2 linked regions of the Coturnix japonica genome follow. The protein of the gene in region 1 interacts with the protein of each later gene in a biochemical or structural test. Links are inferred from orthologs where the notes say so. Each region holds a gene or a part of one and is shown in the gene's direction. Other genes may lie near its edges.

Region 1 (7,590 bases):
TCAGTTGATATACATTTCCTGTTTGCTGTAATCAGGCCCAAACGTGTAAAAGTGAATCTGTAAAGTTATCTCAATGTAAGGAATTAATGTGTTTTGTGTGGCAGTTGAATGTTTCCTTTTCACAGTTGGCTTGAACTGCAGGAGCAGACAAACATCTGTGTATATTATATGTAGCAGCAAAGCTGACTTAATGGGTTTGTACCTCTTTGTTACTGCCCATCCCGTAATTTTCCACTAAGCTGCACTGATTGTTTTCTTTGTTTCTGTGCTGATTGTGTCATTAATATGGTTCTGCTCAGCTCAGTGCTGAGGAATGAGGGGCTTGGTGGGAGCCTCGTTCACGTTGCTCTTGTAGGAGTATGTGTGGTGCTGTGGCTCCAGCTTCTCTGCAGGACAGGGATGTGATGGAGCACCTCTCCTCCCATGTGGTGCTGTCTTCCAGAAAGCTTGTTGGGTGCTGTATGTTCATGTTTAGTAAATGGACACAGTAGAGAAACTCACTGACAGGCTTGCATAAAGTGCAGCTGGCTTAAGAAGTGAAAATATTTATATGCTCCTTTCAAATGCTTGGATAGGAATTATAGAGATGGCTGGAATAGTGTTTGGGCTCTGCTGCAGGTGATATGGAAGGCAGCCTGTGGTGTCTGCTTTGGACACCTGACAATTCTGTGTGCTTCAAACATTTGAAGAGTGGGGTGTAGGTATAAACTTGCAAAGTAGTGAGATGTCCCCAGATGTACATCTTAGATGTAGCCTCTGTGAAACAAAATGGGTGGCTCCACTGTTGCAGCCTTCCATCGCTCGTGATGGTAAACGATGCTCTTCAGTAGAAGATTTCCTGCTTTCAGTTTATACAGACTGGCAATGTCCCTGGGAAGAGGAGCAGGTCAGCATACCTTGGGGCCACTTTGTTGGCTGTATACAAGCACCCTTCAAGTGGTGGATATGAAATCCTGTTTGTTTCTGCCACCTGTGGCTGCTTTCTGGAAGTCTTTAGTGGCCTGTGTTCCTTCTTTCACTGGTGCTATTTGCGTGGTGTCATGGAATGTACATGATATTGCTGAAAGCAGGAGCTGCCTGCACCTTCTCTGGGCTGCTCGGTGTTTGCAGAGCTGACTGAAGCATATTCACTTCTCCCTCTGTTTCTCAGGAACTCTTTGCGGAATTTGGGACCTTGAAGAAGGCAGCAGTGCACTACGACAGATCCGGACGCAGTCTAGGAACAGCAGATGTGCATTTTGAAAGGAAAGCAGATGCTCTGAAAGCTATGAAGCAGTACAATGGAGTCCCCTTGGATGGTGAGTCTCTGTGGCTGTCGTGTGCTTCTCTGCACGGCTGATGGCATCTGTGTGCCTGCCACACTCACAGGGTAACTGGCTGCTTTTCCTGCAGGGCGCCCCATGAACATTCAGCTGGTTACATCACAGATAGATACACAGAGGAGACCAGCACAGAGGTGAGAAGCCGCGGGAGTCGCTGTGCCAGTCAGCACGGGGAGTGAACTGGCCTGTGTAGGAAGCATGGAATCCTCCTCGTGTCCTGCAACCTTCTGAGTGCCTGTTGGGGTTAACCAGAATGCACTATAACAGTTGCTTTTTAAAAATCACAGTGTAAACAGAGGTGGAATGACCAGAAACCGTGGTGGTACAGGAGGATTTGGTGGTGGAGGTACCAGGCGAGGTAGTCGTGGTGGGAGCAGAGGGAGAGGCAGAGGGGCTGGAAGAACTTCCAAACAGCAGCTCTCTGCAGAAGAACTAGATGCACAGCTGGATGCTTACAATGCCAGGGTAAGTGCTGCTCACATGATGGTCACGGGTACCTACAGCGTCCTTTTGATAAACACTGGCAGCTGGCTGGAAAGAGAAATTGTTTTTCAGGTCATTTGACTTAAATAGCCTCCCTCTAAAGCTGAGCATTGCCCTGTTCCTTCAGCTGCCTTAGCTCTCCACATCTACTGTTACTCATGAGTAATAAATAGCCCCTTTTCCAACTTCTCCTGGCTTGTTGAAGCCTGTGTCAACCAGAATTGGCAGTAATCAAGATGTGTGATGAACGAAAGCTATGAACCAAAGCCCAAAGGGATAATAGGCTGGAAAAATGAAAAGCAAAAAGAAAAAACACATAAAATAACCAGCTTGGTGCTAAGAAAGGAAAAAAAGTCAATGATGCTGATCACCCCTAATGCAGGTGGATGAGCAGAGCAGTGCACATGGTTTCTTTCATTCAGAATGAGCTCAGATATTGTGCCACAACAAGACTAAAGTCTTAACTGAGAATCAGTTAAGAAGTGATGCAGGGACTTGGCCCAAGCACTGAGGTGCAGTTTAGGTCTGCTCAGTGTGTGCTGTGGATTGGGCTGCATCTCCGCCATTGAGGCAGCAGCATCCTGGGGTTGGCAGGCAGGGCTGGGGGGTGTCAGGGTTGGGGATGGAGCTGGGGGGTTGTGGGGCCATGGTGGGTTGTGGGGTCATGGTGGGTTATGGGGCCGTGGTGGGTTATGGGGCCATGGTGGGTTATGGGGTCATGGTGGCTGCTGACGCTCCTCTCTGTTCTCTTCCAGATGGACACCAGCTAAAGCGTTGAGCGGCGCATGGAAGGACTGCAGACATCTCATTCCATGCTGTGTGGCGGGAGGGGTGTGCGACTGTGGCTACTAATATCAAGGATGGGATTTGTTTTACTTTTATGTTTTGGAATAGGTTTTAAACTCATGTAAAGGTTTTTTTTAATTCTGAAGCCAGACCCGTTTTGTACCGAGTTATTTTTGGGATAAATTTTACTGGTTGCCTGTTGGGCCGAGGTGGCTTTTTCACCTTTGCCGTAATAAAATAGAACCGTGTCTAGAGCTCCGCCTGCTCCCTGCCGCGCGCTCCTTTCCCGCGCCCGCGCTGCGCGGCGAACGCGCGCGTACTCCCTGAGCCAATCAGAACGCAGCGTCGAGGCAGGAAGTGAGGAGCGGGACACGCCCTCGTATAACGGGAAGTGACGGGCGTGTCCCGGAAGTGCGGGGGTGCGCGGGCGGCTGGGCGGATCCCGGCGGCGTTGGACCGCGGCGCGGACGGTGAGAGCGGCCGGGACGGCGGGACCGGGCGGGGCGGGGCCAAGGGAGCGGGGCGGGGGGCGCCGGGATCCGCCATGTGCGCTGCGGCCGGGCCGGGTCCCGCGGGCTCAGCGCCACGCCAGGGTCCGGGGCGCGGCCGAGGGGGCAGCGGGCGCCGTCCGGGTGCGCGGCGGGGAGCGGAGCGAAGAGCGGCGCCTTCGTGCCTTGAGGCCGCCCCGGCCGCCGCTGTCGGACCGGAGCCGGGTGGGGACCCGCTGGCTTCAAATAGATTCTCCATAAATGGTTTCGAGCTTTGAAAGGAGGAACTTGAAGGCGACTTCCCCACGGTTGGGTTCGTTTGGCGTTAGAGCCGAGACGTCGGTGCAGCACCGGGTGCAGGATGGAGGATGGAGCGGCAGTGAGCGCTGTCCGGGCTGCGGGGCCTCATGGCCGTGCCGGAAGGATGGTGCCGTTTCCCTGCCTGGGCGGGCGCGTTGCGTGAAGCCGTGACTTCCTTCTCTTAAAGAGCTCTCGGTTGTAGCACTCAATTATCGCTGTGAGAGCTTCAGGTCCCGGCCGTAGTGCTCTATATAGTGCTCTATGGGCTCGGTTCTCTTGCAGTGGTCCCGTTCTTGTCCCAGAGATGCTGAGTGGCGGCCGCTTCCACGTGGTGCCCAGGAGACATTTGCAGCTCCTGCAGTGTGGTCGTGCTGTAGCTCTGCAGTCGTTGTACTTACAGGTGCATAGTGCTCACCGTGCAGCTTGTTTGAGTACGAGGCTGCAAGGGCTTCTTAAATCCGATAAGCAGTGGGAGCTGTCTGCTCGTTCTCGGGTGATGCTCGTGGCAGGTGATACCTGCAGGTGTTGTGCAGTGCAGGGCAGTGTCACCAGCACGGTGCACAACTGCGGATCTGGCTGCAGAGCACCTGGCAGCAGCTGCTGTGCGACCCACAGCTCCTCCCCACGCCTGGAGCTGTGACAGGGATCAGCCTTAGGGCAAGGCGGGAGATCTCCATGCTCATAAAGCAGCTCAGCAATGCTGTGGGAGCACCCAGCGCTGTGCTCCTGAGGCTAAACCTGCCTGCAGGCAGCACTGGGGGGGGGTCACTGCTCTGCTGCTGCCACGCAATTAGACCTGGCTCTGGGCAAGCTCACGTCTGGCCCCTCGAGCTGCCATCATACGGGGTGTCTGTGCTGCTTGAACTGGTTTTAGCAGCTCTTGCTTCCTGTTTCTGCAGCACAGCAGCTTATGCAGCCCTGAGATGAACCAGGGTGGTTGAACCGACCTGTGTGGGAAGTAACCTTGCAGAAAGCCACATTGGATTCCAAGTGGCTTTGCTGTGCAGCTTCATCAGCTTTCCCTTGTGCTGCAGCGAAAAAAGGAAGGGTGTGGACTGCTTGAATTGGCGCTGTGTGTGTCCGTGGCTGAGCTGAGGCCTGACGGATGTCCGAAGCCAATTAGGTCATCTGTAAAGACTCTGACCACTCTTATGTCACTGCACAAGTACCTTGGGATCGTGGCCCTGGCATGTAAAGAAATCACTGCTCATCCCTGCCTGATAACGGTGTTCTTTTCCTAGCAGTGTTTCTATCTGGCAGAAGGTGGGGCTCGTGTGTTCACTGCTGTTCGCTCCTTGGTATCGAACTAAAAATACTGAGAGAACTCAGGAGAAACTGCTGACTTCAGGAAGCGGCGCAGGCAGCTGAGTGCAGATCTGCAGATGGGAAATAATTTGGTTTCTGCTGCTTTCTGCAGGCCCCAGTAACCAGCAGAGCTTCCATTTCCAGACATTCTGGGACATCCCTGAGGCCGCAGTGCTCTCCTGTGGTTGAGTGCAGGGTGGCACAGAGGCAGCAGCTGCACTGTTCTGTGAGCCAGGTGTGTCTGCAGTCAGAGCCATGGGCTCGGGCGGTGCCGCACAGGGTGTGCAGGTGCCTTCCGGGTTTCAAAGTTGCTGAGGGGGAATTCCTTGCAGAGGCCTTGGGGTGGTGCCTGGGTGTGAGGCTCAGGGCTGAAGGTGCCATTGCTGCTGGAGGTTGGTGTTCTGGGAGGTTTCAGTCACGAGGCTGAGCCCTCTGAAGGGGTTGTGGCCTCAGGTCCCCGTTCCTCTGCCCCCACCTCTGCAGCAGCATGTGCTGGAGCCATGATCCTACAGGACGTTGGGCATGGCATGAGATGGATGCCCGACCCAGTGTTCCAGTGTGTTGAGTCCCTCAGCTCTGCTCTGCCTAGCAGTACGACAGCTCCTCCTGCATGCACCCGACCAGCTCTGTTCTACTCATTCTAGGCTGTAGGAAATGCATTGTTATAGAAGCACGGAGCAGCCTGATGCTGCTGGGAGCCTCCTTTCTCCCTGGCAGAATACTCAGGGCAGCAGCTGAGCACTGTGATGTGAGGCTGCACAATGCTGTGTGCTGGGAGCAGGGTCAGCCGGGCGCAGTGGGAGCACGATGCCATCAGAACACTGCAGCAGAGGGGCTGTGGTGCAGCCAGCTCCATGAGGCTCCTCCAGGCCTCGCTGCACATTTTTCCTGTGCTTCCTTGCAGAGCTGAGACCCAGCCTGTCTTGAGCTGCTGTTTGGAACATTGCTTGCTGTTTCTGGTAACTTTGGGTCAGTTTGAAGAGCCACTTTTCACCCATGGACTTCCATGGGGTGCTCGTGGGGGAGGGAGGGGAGGGGTGAAGTCTGGCTTGGAGCTGAAACTGAGGGCAAAATGAGATTAAGCACTGGAACAAATGCTTGAGTGAGTGTTTGTTGAACACTTTTGGGAGCCTTCAAGCCTGGAAGCTTTCTTGGATGGGAGCCTAAAGGAAATGACTGGTTTCGATATGGATTTTCTAGGGTGAGAGCTACTCGGTTGCTCATGTATGGCATAAGATTTGAATGTAAATTTCCATGGCAATCAGTGCCAGGGACCTGGAGAATCCCTTTCTGCTGGTAGAGCTCAGTCAGGTTTTGATGCCCGCTGCAAGTACCCTTTGTGCACCCATGTTGGTGCCCCAGCCTCCCTGGGAGGTGCTGCCAGCCCAGGGCAGCTCAGATTTGCTCTTGTGTTTGGCTGGGGGTTCACCCACACGGGATCTGACAGCACCTCATCTCAGTGCCAGCATTGAGCTACAGCCCTGGTGCTGTGCTGGAGGCCGCTCTCATACCCTGGATCAGCCATAGTCATCAGGCAGAGATGTGCAACATATCACTCTAATTTGTCTCCTTGGCAGAACATTCCTAATATTTATGGCTAAAAACACCATCTACACATACCTCTGCTGTTGTGCTCTTGCAGCTGTCGCCAGGCTCAAGATGGAGGCAGACACAACTTGTCTTGTGTCACTGCACAATGTGCTCTGTGAGCTGTGTGTGCTCAGTGCCAGCGCTCAGGTTTTTCTCTCCCTGTCTGGGTGACACATTGGGTAGGAATGAAGTCGTTGAGTTAAGGGCTGTTATGTCAGCTAGTTCCAAGAGGAGAAGAGCAAATAGCAGTTGGCTTACGTAGCATAGCCTGTGCTGCAGACTTTGGGTTTTCCTTTACAAGTCAGCATTTCTGGATGTATCCTGGTCTTCTGTGGGGGCACGTGGAGATCAGAATTAAGATCATAGTGTTGATTTATTTGGAAACTGGATGGCAGAGCAAAGAATGCAGTTTTCCAGTCTGAGTCATGTGTGCTGATACACGACTCCAGACAGGAATGCAGAATGGGACGTGGAAATGCCAGGTAATAACGGGAATACCTGCATCCATCTGCACGTCATTTGTGGAGGATTTTGTCTGAGAAGCCTTTCAAAAGTTGTCAGCTGAGTGTTTTTAAGCCCTCAGAGCAGTCCAAGCTGATGTTTGCTGTAGGATCACCCGTAGGGCAGCACTCCTTGTGATGCATCAGGAATTACTGACACTTTTTCCTGGTGTTTTGATGGCTGTTGGACCAGCTCTCAGCTGGGTGTTTCCTGGTTACACTGTGCTCTGGGGCTTACAAAGCAGTGCCAATCTACACACCGGTCTTCAACCCATGTGTTTGCCCAGCTCTGTGACACATATCTTTGGAAAGGATCAGGATGAGGTCAGCTGAGCCAGGTGTCTCCTTCCATTGTAGATTCTGATTGAATTACAAACTGTGAGCTCCAGATTGCAGCTGAGGCTTCTGGCATTTGGGCCAGCGGTGGGGCTGGGCCTGTTCTTCTCCTCACCAGGTTGTACTATGGAGAAGCAGAACTGAACTGGGTTTATTCTGGGCTCAAGCTGATTGCAAGTGAAAGCATCACTGAGCTGTTCATGTGGAGGAGTTGTTTTTTTCTATGGCGTGGGCTATTTCTCTGTTGCAGCTGCTGAACAAAGCACAGAGGCTGATTACTTTTCCCAATCCTCTTGTAAGGGCTGAAAATGGGATCTTGGCTGCCGAGGGCAGGCTGGGGGGGGCACAGGTCCTTGACAGCAATGTGCCTCTGGAGTGGGGAACCTGGTGGGAGAGGGACCTGTGGAGTCAGGGCTGTTTTGGGATGGCTGGTTTATGCCAATATGCAGCAGATAGCTACAGTTAAACGTCTCCTCCCTG
Region 2 (7,888 bases), on another chromosome or scaffold:
TGTGCAGTTATCAGCAGTTACAAAGCCATACAGTGATAACGGTGGTTAGAATAATGGATGAAATATAATGAATGGGTGATCCATATTTTGTATGAAAAATTTGTTAGCAAATTACTACCTCAGAGATACAAGTACTGATTAACACGAACTGTTAAGGCCATAACCGACACAGTTAAATGCGCACACTCCTCTACAGTGAATTTATTACGTTCAGTCTTGAGCAGAATATATATATATATTATATATATATATACACATATTCATTATATATATGTATATATATATATATAATATGTATATATAATATATATCATATATATTATATACATGGCCCTGATATATATATATAATATATATAATTCGGCCTTGAGATAGGCTTCCTCCACTGCAGTATCTTCACTGTATCAGAGACTAAATACCTATGAGAAAACAAAGATGTGTCATTAGGTTATCATATGTGAGGTGTTAGTAAAGCTTTCAGGCTATTTACTCACCCTGGTCCTAAACAGTACAGCCTGTCTGCTTGCAGTAGCAACAACCATTAAGAGAAGCAGTTCTTTCCTGAAGTCTTTCACTGGCAGGAACTTACTGGTCTGCAGGAGAGACCTTTTGCCAACGACTCTGCAGATTTTCAACAGTAAAGGTGGCTGCTGGCCAGCAGAGTCTCACTGTGAATGTTAAAGGTTAAGCCTCTTCAGCTAGGCTATTAAAACAAAAGGCAGAACCGCTTGACACCAAACTAGCTGCCAACACAGCAGTTCATTAGCAGATTATCCCAAGTACTGTTTTACAGGCGTTCTGACCAGGCTTTGGAGTCCTGGTTTGTCCTTTCTGTTTTCTGTGCTCTTGAAGAGGAGGCAAAATCTCTCTTCCACCTTCCCCACTTATTGCAGACCGGGGCTGTCCTCCCTCATCACAACACTTGTGAAGGGGAATATCTTGCCTCCTGGAGCTGAGGCCATCAATATTAAATGTCTGCAGAGGTGCTGCAAACTGCAGGACTCCTAGCACTAGAAAAAGGACAAATTCTTCCCATAACCAAACCACAGTTGGCATTTTGAACTTGATCAAAGCTGAGACTACATCAATATACTCAATAAAGGGAATGTGGAATATCCAGCACAGTTACTGGAATCCTTGTATTTTTACTGAAATTCAGTACTTTCTGGAATTGGATACATTTAACTTTAAATGACAGATAAACTTAACATCAGACATAAAAAGTACAACCTATTACTTCAGACATTTACTGTAATTTAACCAAGTATTTTAAATCTCTATGAATTGGATTCATCTAACGACCACAAAATTCCTTCAGTTCCATTTCTTTCCAGCAGAAACTCTAAGGGGCAACAGTTGTTGAAAAAAAGAAACGTTATCGATACATGTTAAGATAAAAAAACCCCGTTATATTCAAATATTAACAAAACATTAAACAATTTGCTTTTAGGCCATACAATTAGTAACAGCTGAATTACCCTGCAATATATTTTTATGATGTGAGGTTTGCTTCTGCAAACATATTAATAGATAAGTATGTGTGTACTGAGTCATAGGCACACACTTTCCCAGAAAGAGTGGCTGAGTTCCAGACTTGTAGACAAATCCATGTATAACTTCTCATGTTGGTGGCGAGATATGGGTAGAGCCACAGTTCTATGCAGCTGATGGCACAAATCTTGATTGAATTACATGTAAAAGTGCACCGCCTAACATTTAACATGGAAAAAAAATAATAATAATTCCTCAAGGTTACTTATTTTTCAGTTCTCCTTTCCAAAACGTGTTGCCCAGTAAACATCCCTTGGATTGCACATTTAGCATTAACATAAGTGACATCTAACTACTCACAGTTGGGTATTCACTGACCAATGCTTTCTATCTTTGCAGGTAGACTAGAAATAAGATGCATTGGCTTGGAAGCCTTTCCTGTCAGAATTGATTGTAGCATTGATTCCTCAGATAGGGCACTGAAAGCTCAGAATATGACTTTTAATGAAGCGCTGTATGTTGGCATTACTGCTGGGAGATAAACTTTTATATCTCACAGTTACAGCGCTCTTATCAGTAACTTTATAACCCACCGCTTAAAGAACTGTAATTCAAGTTGATCTGGATATCTGAAAGCTCTTTATTGACCGTAGCTCCTTCTGTAGTTTCAATTTCATGACTAAACAGTTCAAACACTAACTGCACTTTTGTTTTTACTGCCCTGCTTTATCAGGCAAACTGCAACTTTACACCTTGTTAAGGAAGCGAAGTGAGAAGAAAACCACATTATACTGTTAACGAGGTAAGATAAGATTATTATTTACGTGACTGGTTTTTTTTTTGTTTGTTTGTTTGAGGAATATTATTCTTTGTGCAACAGGACCAGAGATAAGGCATATCCTAAAGTGATAATGCAGATTTGAAATCACAGAATCACAGAATGACCCGGGTTGGAAGGGACCTCAAGGATCATGTAGTTCCAACCCCCTGCCTGGCAGGGCCACCAAACATACACCTTTACTAGATCAGGTTGCCCAGGGCCCAAACCAACCTGGTCTTGAACACCTCCAAGGACGGGGCATCCACAACCTCCCTGGGCAGCCGTCTTCCAGGCCTACCACTCTTCCTAGTGAAGAACTTCCCCCTAACATCCAACCTAAATCTTCCCTCTTTTAGCTTAAAACCATTTCCTGTGTCCTGCTATTGTCAGCCCTTTTGAAGAGTTTACTCCCCTCCTGGGAGTAAGTTCCCTTCAGGTACTGAAAGGCTGCAATGTCACCTCGCAACCTTCTCTTCTCCAGCTGAACAAACCCAACTCCCTCAGCCTGTCCTCATAGGGGAGGTGCTCCAGCCCCCTGATCATCTTTGTGGCCCTCCTCTGGACCCTTTCCAAAAATCTCCATATCTTTAAAAAGAGCTTTATCACACTCTATCAGCACGAAAGCCGTGACCTCAGAGCAATAATCCCATACGGGATTTCCCGCCTCCTTCCGACCCCCCTCACAAACTCATCCCTCCCCCAGCGGCGCCCTGAGGCTGCGGGGAGGAGCCGCACAACCCGCTCAGCTCCCTTCCGCTCCGCGGGCTCCGGGCACAGACTTCGCTCCGCCCAGCGCCACGCGCGTTCCTGTCCACCGCCTGCGCGCCGCGTCCCGAGCCGCAAAATCTGATAGGGGGAAAATCTGCAACGGCGGCCTGGGCCGCCATATTGCGGAGCTGTCAGCGCCCGCCGCGCTCCGACACTCGTTCCGCCGCGAGCAGCGCGGGCGGCCCCCGCAGCGGCAACCTGCCCCGCTGCCAGGGGGAGCTGCGCGGCGGGCGGGAAACGCCCGTCATCGAGCATCTCGGTCGCCGTTCCCGAGCCTCGTCCCCTCCCGACGCCGGGGGGAGCGGCAGCCCCAGGTGAGCTCGGCGGGGGCGCGGGCCTCGAGACGGGCCGGCATTGCGAGCCGTGAGGGCTCCGACCCGCCGCCCCTCGGAGGGAGCCGGGTGCGGGGTGCGGGAGCTGCCGCTGCATTATTCATGGCTGCGCGGCCATGTGCGGCTTGCGTGCGGAGCGATAAGGGATGGCTTCATAAAGGAGCGCGAGCATCTGTTGCTGTCTATTGTTTCCAACAAATGGACACTTGAAGCAGTCCCTCGAGTGCCGCCGACGTCACGGCTCGGCGTTTTCTCAATGAGCCTTTGTGCCTTGTTGGTGCCCGGCTTCACGCTCTGCGCGGGCCGTGGGCGCTTCCCGTTCACCTTTCGCTTTAAGCGGGGAGGGCAGCGAGCTGCCTGCAGCGCTGCGCCGCTTCTCTCAATCCCGCGTGGAAAATGACTCCTTCGGCTCCCTAAGCAGCGAACCGGCCGTGGGCTGCAGCGGGGCTGTCACTTCCCATCAGCCAAATATTTGGCGTTACGCCTTTTCAGGGCACAGCCTTCCCGCCACTTTTCTTTTTGAGTTGTGGGAGTTAAGAGTCTGATCTCGGCTTCGTTCCGTGCGTGTGACGCTGAGTCAGGAGCCGGAGGTGTCCCCACGCCGCGCTCGGCCCCTCGCCATGTGTCACGGCGCTGCCCACGCGCGGTGCCGCAGCTCTGGGTGCGTGGGCTCCGCTCTGCAGCGCTGCGTCGGCGGGGGCGTGGAGCTGCGGTGGGTAACGGGGCAGCGATAGGCGCTGTTCTAAGTCTCGTCTGTATTGAGCTATCGATTCAGCAGGAGAGGGGCTGCGTGAGAAAAATAAACGGCGGTGTGCCCAGATTAAGTCGGCCTCCCGGCGGCGGCATCACAAAGGCGGTGCACGTTTCCAGCTTTTGTGGCCGAAGTGACACAGCTCTTCTCTCAGGTTGGGCCGAAGTACCGTAGTCAGCGTTAAAAAAAACACCCACGTGGAAAGGGACGCGATGTGACACGTCAGGAGCTGTCCAGAGAGTTCTCCTTGGGTACTGACTGAAAGAAACGGTATGGAAGTGGCTGGAGGGAGAACAGAAAGAGCTCTGGTCTCTTGCTGTTGCCATCACAGTAGGGAGCGTTGCCGGCCTTGCAGATGTGTGCAAAGGGAACTGTGGACTGAGAAGCTCACTGCATCTGTGGTGAGAATCTGTCCATGCAGTAATGATTGAGGTTGGGTTAGGAATGAAAATTGAAGTTCTGGGAGCAGTTCGTTGTCAATAGAGCAAATGAAGTGATTTCAGCCATTGTGGGGATAGTACGCGCTTTATTCGGCTTTATTCTTCGGGAGATCTTCAATTGCTGCTCAGCTTTTTAAGAAGGAGCCCTTGTGTTGGCAGGGGTTAAAGGGAAGTTGTTCAAGGCATTTGCAGCTTTTGTATTGGATGTGTTAAAAACATCAAAGCCGTCCTATCGCTTTGTATTGCCTTAAAAGCATGTGGGTGTAGAGGAAAGGGAGGATTTTCAAGTTTGTAAATGTAACCAAAACTTTATGCTAAGTTGTGAAGAAAGACCTGATTGTCCAAAGATACTGTGCATTAAAGCAGCACCCGGTTGTGTCTCATGAGCTTTTCCCAGAGTTGGAGGTACCTCAGGAAACTGTTTTCTGCATTGAAGAGCTGAATCTTTGGGTAACTCTAGCAGCGAGGCTTATTCTTGGCTCTGCTTTGAATTAAATAACTTTCTCTTTCGGTTTATTAATTACTCTGTGAAATGAAACCTTCAAGTCACGTAGTTCAGTTATTACACTGACTCAAGCAAGGAGCGCTTTGATTAAGAACTCAAGGTGTATGGAGGTGATGTATGTGAGGGCGCTTTCCCTGTGCTTTATGGAACTAGTCCTAAAGGGACCTGCACCATGTATTCATAAACACAACCTCTGGTTCTTGAATGGGACTTACCCAGGGTTTCAGTTATGCCACATTCCTTGCTAGTCCTATTTCTAGACAAGTTTCTCACCTTTAAAACAATAGAGTACTTGTGTCAGTCGCACTTCATTTCCATTTTTTACTTCTGTATCCAACATACATAGGGAAGACTGCATGGCAAGTCTGTGTGGTGTTGTTGTAGAACGCATCGAGATGTTGACTGGGTGCCTTAAGCAAAAAACTGAAGTTAAGATGACAGTTTATATTTATTAAGCTTAATATGTGAGTTGTTTAACACATCTGCCACTAACTTCAACGTTGCATAAACTCATTTGGCTGTTCCGTGTTCCTGTCTGTTTAACTACTGTGCTGGCTGCTGCCCAGTTCTCATTAGTACTTCTGAAGTTCTTGTAATTTTTCTCCCAAGTTGGTTTTGGGAAGAAAAGAAAGCAGCTGCATCTTCCAAATGGTCTGCTTGAATATGTTTAAAGCAGAACAATTGTCCTGGTTATATAGGAACTATATTCGGACAATCAGCAAGTCAGGTATGGTGGGAGTAGGGAAATGGTGTTCTTTTGAGGAGGTTAAGGTACGATACTCCAAGTATTGCTATGTAGAACTCTGTAGTATCTGGCACTAGTCACATCTCTTCTTTTTTAAAATTGTTATGATGTTTTATTTACAGAATGTAGATTTTTCATTTTATTCCTATTCCTGGAGCGTTGCTTGTCCTGGTTTCACTGTGGTCTGCCTGCAATTCAGACAGTTGTGTAGGTGTCTCCTTACTTGACTGACAGGTGCACATAGATACAGGCCTGTGTGAATGCCCACAGCTTTATTGGACCTCACCAGTGTGTTCAAGGATGTTACATCGTGAAGGTTAGTGCCCATAGGCTATGCTAGAACAGAGGCTTTGGCAGAAAGCTGAGGCCAAGCGGGTGAGTACGGTGGCCTGTAAGTTTCCTATTGCTGCACGTAAAGCTGTTGGAGATCACAACAATTGCAATGCTTCAAGACTGCAAAGAAAAAGTGTGTTTATGATAAACAAGTTCCTATAAATGGTGAGCTGCTGTTTGTGGGCTGAAACTCTGTGGTTCCTGCCATCTGTATGTCTCTCTCTACTCACTCTGTGAGCCCCTCTGGAGTACCTGTGTACCGTTGTGGACCCCTCAGTACAAAAATACATGAGATTTATGGAAAGGTCCAGAGAGGGGCCAACGAAGCATGATCAGGCTGGACACCTTCCCCCCTAATAGAACAGGCTGAGGAAGTTGGATTGTTCAGCCTGGAGAAGAGAAAGGTGGCGGTGACCGCCATTGCACCTTTCAATTACCTGAAGGGAACTTACTCCCGGAGGGTAAACTCTTCGAAAGCTACAATAGGCAGACACGGGGAAATGGTATTTAAGTGTAAAAGAGGGAAAGTTAGTGGATGTATAGGGAAGTCTTCACTAGAGATGGTTAGGCCCTGAACAGTCTGCCCAGGGAGTTGGATGCCCGTCCTTGAGTGCTTCAAGACCAATGTTGGACAGGGCCCTGGGCAACCTGATCTAGTAAAGGTGTATGTTTGGTGGCCCTGCCAGGCAGGGGGGTTGGAACTACATGATCCTGGAGGTCCCTTCCAACCCGGGTCATTCTGTGATTCTGTGTATGTGCAGGCAGGTGCTGAGAGCTCGAAGCCTGTGGAGCACCCTGAGAAGTGACTTCTAGAGGTAGGCCCTGCGCTGTCACACAGGGCCCTGCTGATGCTGAGGCTCCGTTTTCCATCATCTCAGGCCCCCTGTCCCCTCCTCACCTGCCCCCTGCCCCGCGCTGTGTGCATGAATGTTCCTTTTGAAAACAGCTGCTGCATAAATTATCTGTCAGAATTTTGGCATCGTGCACTTTCTGCACCATCGCTTTCTGGATAAAGCTTTCTTTGTCGTCTCTCAACAATTGCTTTATTTGTTGGCTTCCGTGGCATAACTGGGAACATGGATGATAATGATTGCAAAAAATGGAGCTGCTATGTTGTTAAATGAATTGAAATCTCAGTTGTTCATTTGAAGAGAATTTCTGTTTGGGTTGTGATGCGCGGCAGCTGACCCTGTGGTGACTCACTGCGGAGATGGATCACAGCAGCACGTGCCGTGAAGGCCTCGAGGCCTGGGGAGCTGCAGCAGCTCTGCACCCACAGCACCACGGAGCTGGTGTGGAATAGGGGTGATGATAAAACTGGACATGTCATCAACTGCATCAGAGCAAAAAGCTCAATGAGAGCCAAAATGATTGTGTCCACTAAGTGTAAATTGGGTACATGTAAATGGCAGAAGTGAGCTCCTACTGCCGTGATAATAGTGGAGATGACAGTGTTTTGCCTGGTGGTGATATTTGCTTTCTTTCCATCAAATATTTTTGTTATATTATTTCATTATATTGGGCTTGTTCAGCCTAGAGAAGAGAAGGTTGCGGGGTGACCTCATTGCAGCCTTTCAATACCTGAAGGGAACCTACACCCAGGAGGGGAGTAAACTCTTCGAAAGGGCTGACAATAGCAGGACACGGGGAAATGGTTTTAAGTTAAAAGAGGGAAGATTTAGGTTGGATGTTAGGGGGAAGTT

Evidence for each region. The genes of interacting proteins can lie anywhere in the genome.
Region 2: the proteins of ARHGDIA (region 1) and RDX form a complex in vitro, tested with the Homo sapiens proteins (2 studies listed by BioGRID and IntAct). The link is inferred for Coturnix japonica from reciprocal best matches to the Homo sapiens genes ARHGDIA and RDX.

The regions. Positions count from the first base shown.
Region 1 is NC_029533.1:4,448,382-4,455,971, forward strand, and holds the start of ARHGDIA (rho GDP-dissociation inhibitor 1), read left to right. Parts: upstream 1-2,943; 5' UTR 2,944-3,061; intron 3,062-7,590. Other genes in the region: ALYREF (THO complex subunit 4), read left to right, coding at 1,151-1,298, 1,393-1,456, 1,610-1,787, 2,561-2,575. UniProt on the Homo sapiens protein: Controls Rho proteins homeostasis. Regulates the GDP/GTP exchange reaction of the Rho proteins by inhibiting the dissociation of GDP from them, and the subsequent binding of GTP to them.
Region 2 is NC_029516.1:160,653,346-160,661,233, forward strand, and holds the start of RDX (radixin), read left to right. Parts: upstream 1-3,240; 5' UTR 3,241-3,393; intron 3,394-4,413; exon of another isoform or gene 4,414-4,432; intron 4,433-7,888. UniProt on the Homo sapiens protein: Probably plays a crucial role in the binding of the barbed end of actin filaments to the plasma membrane.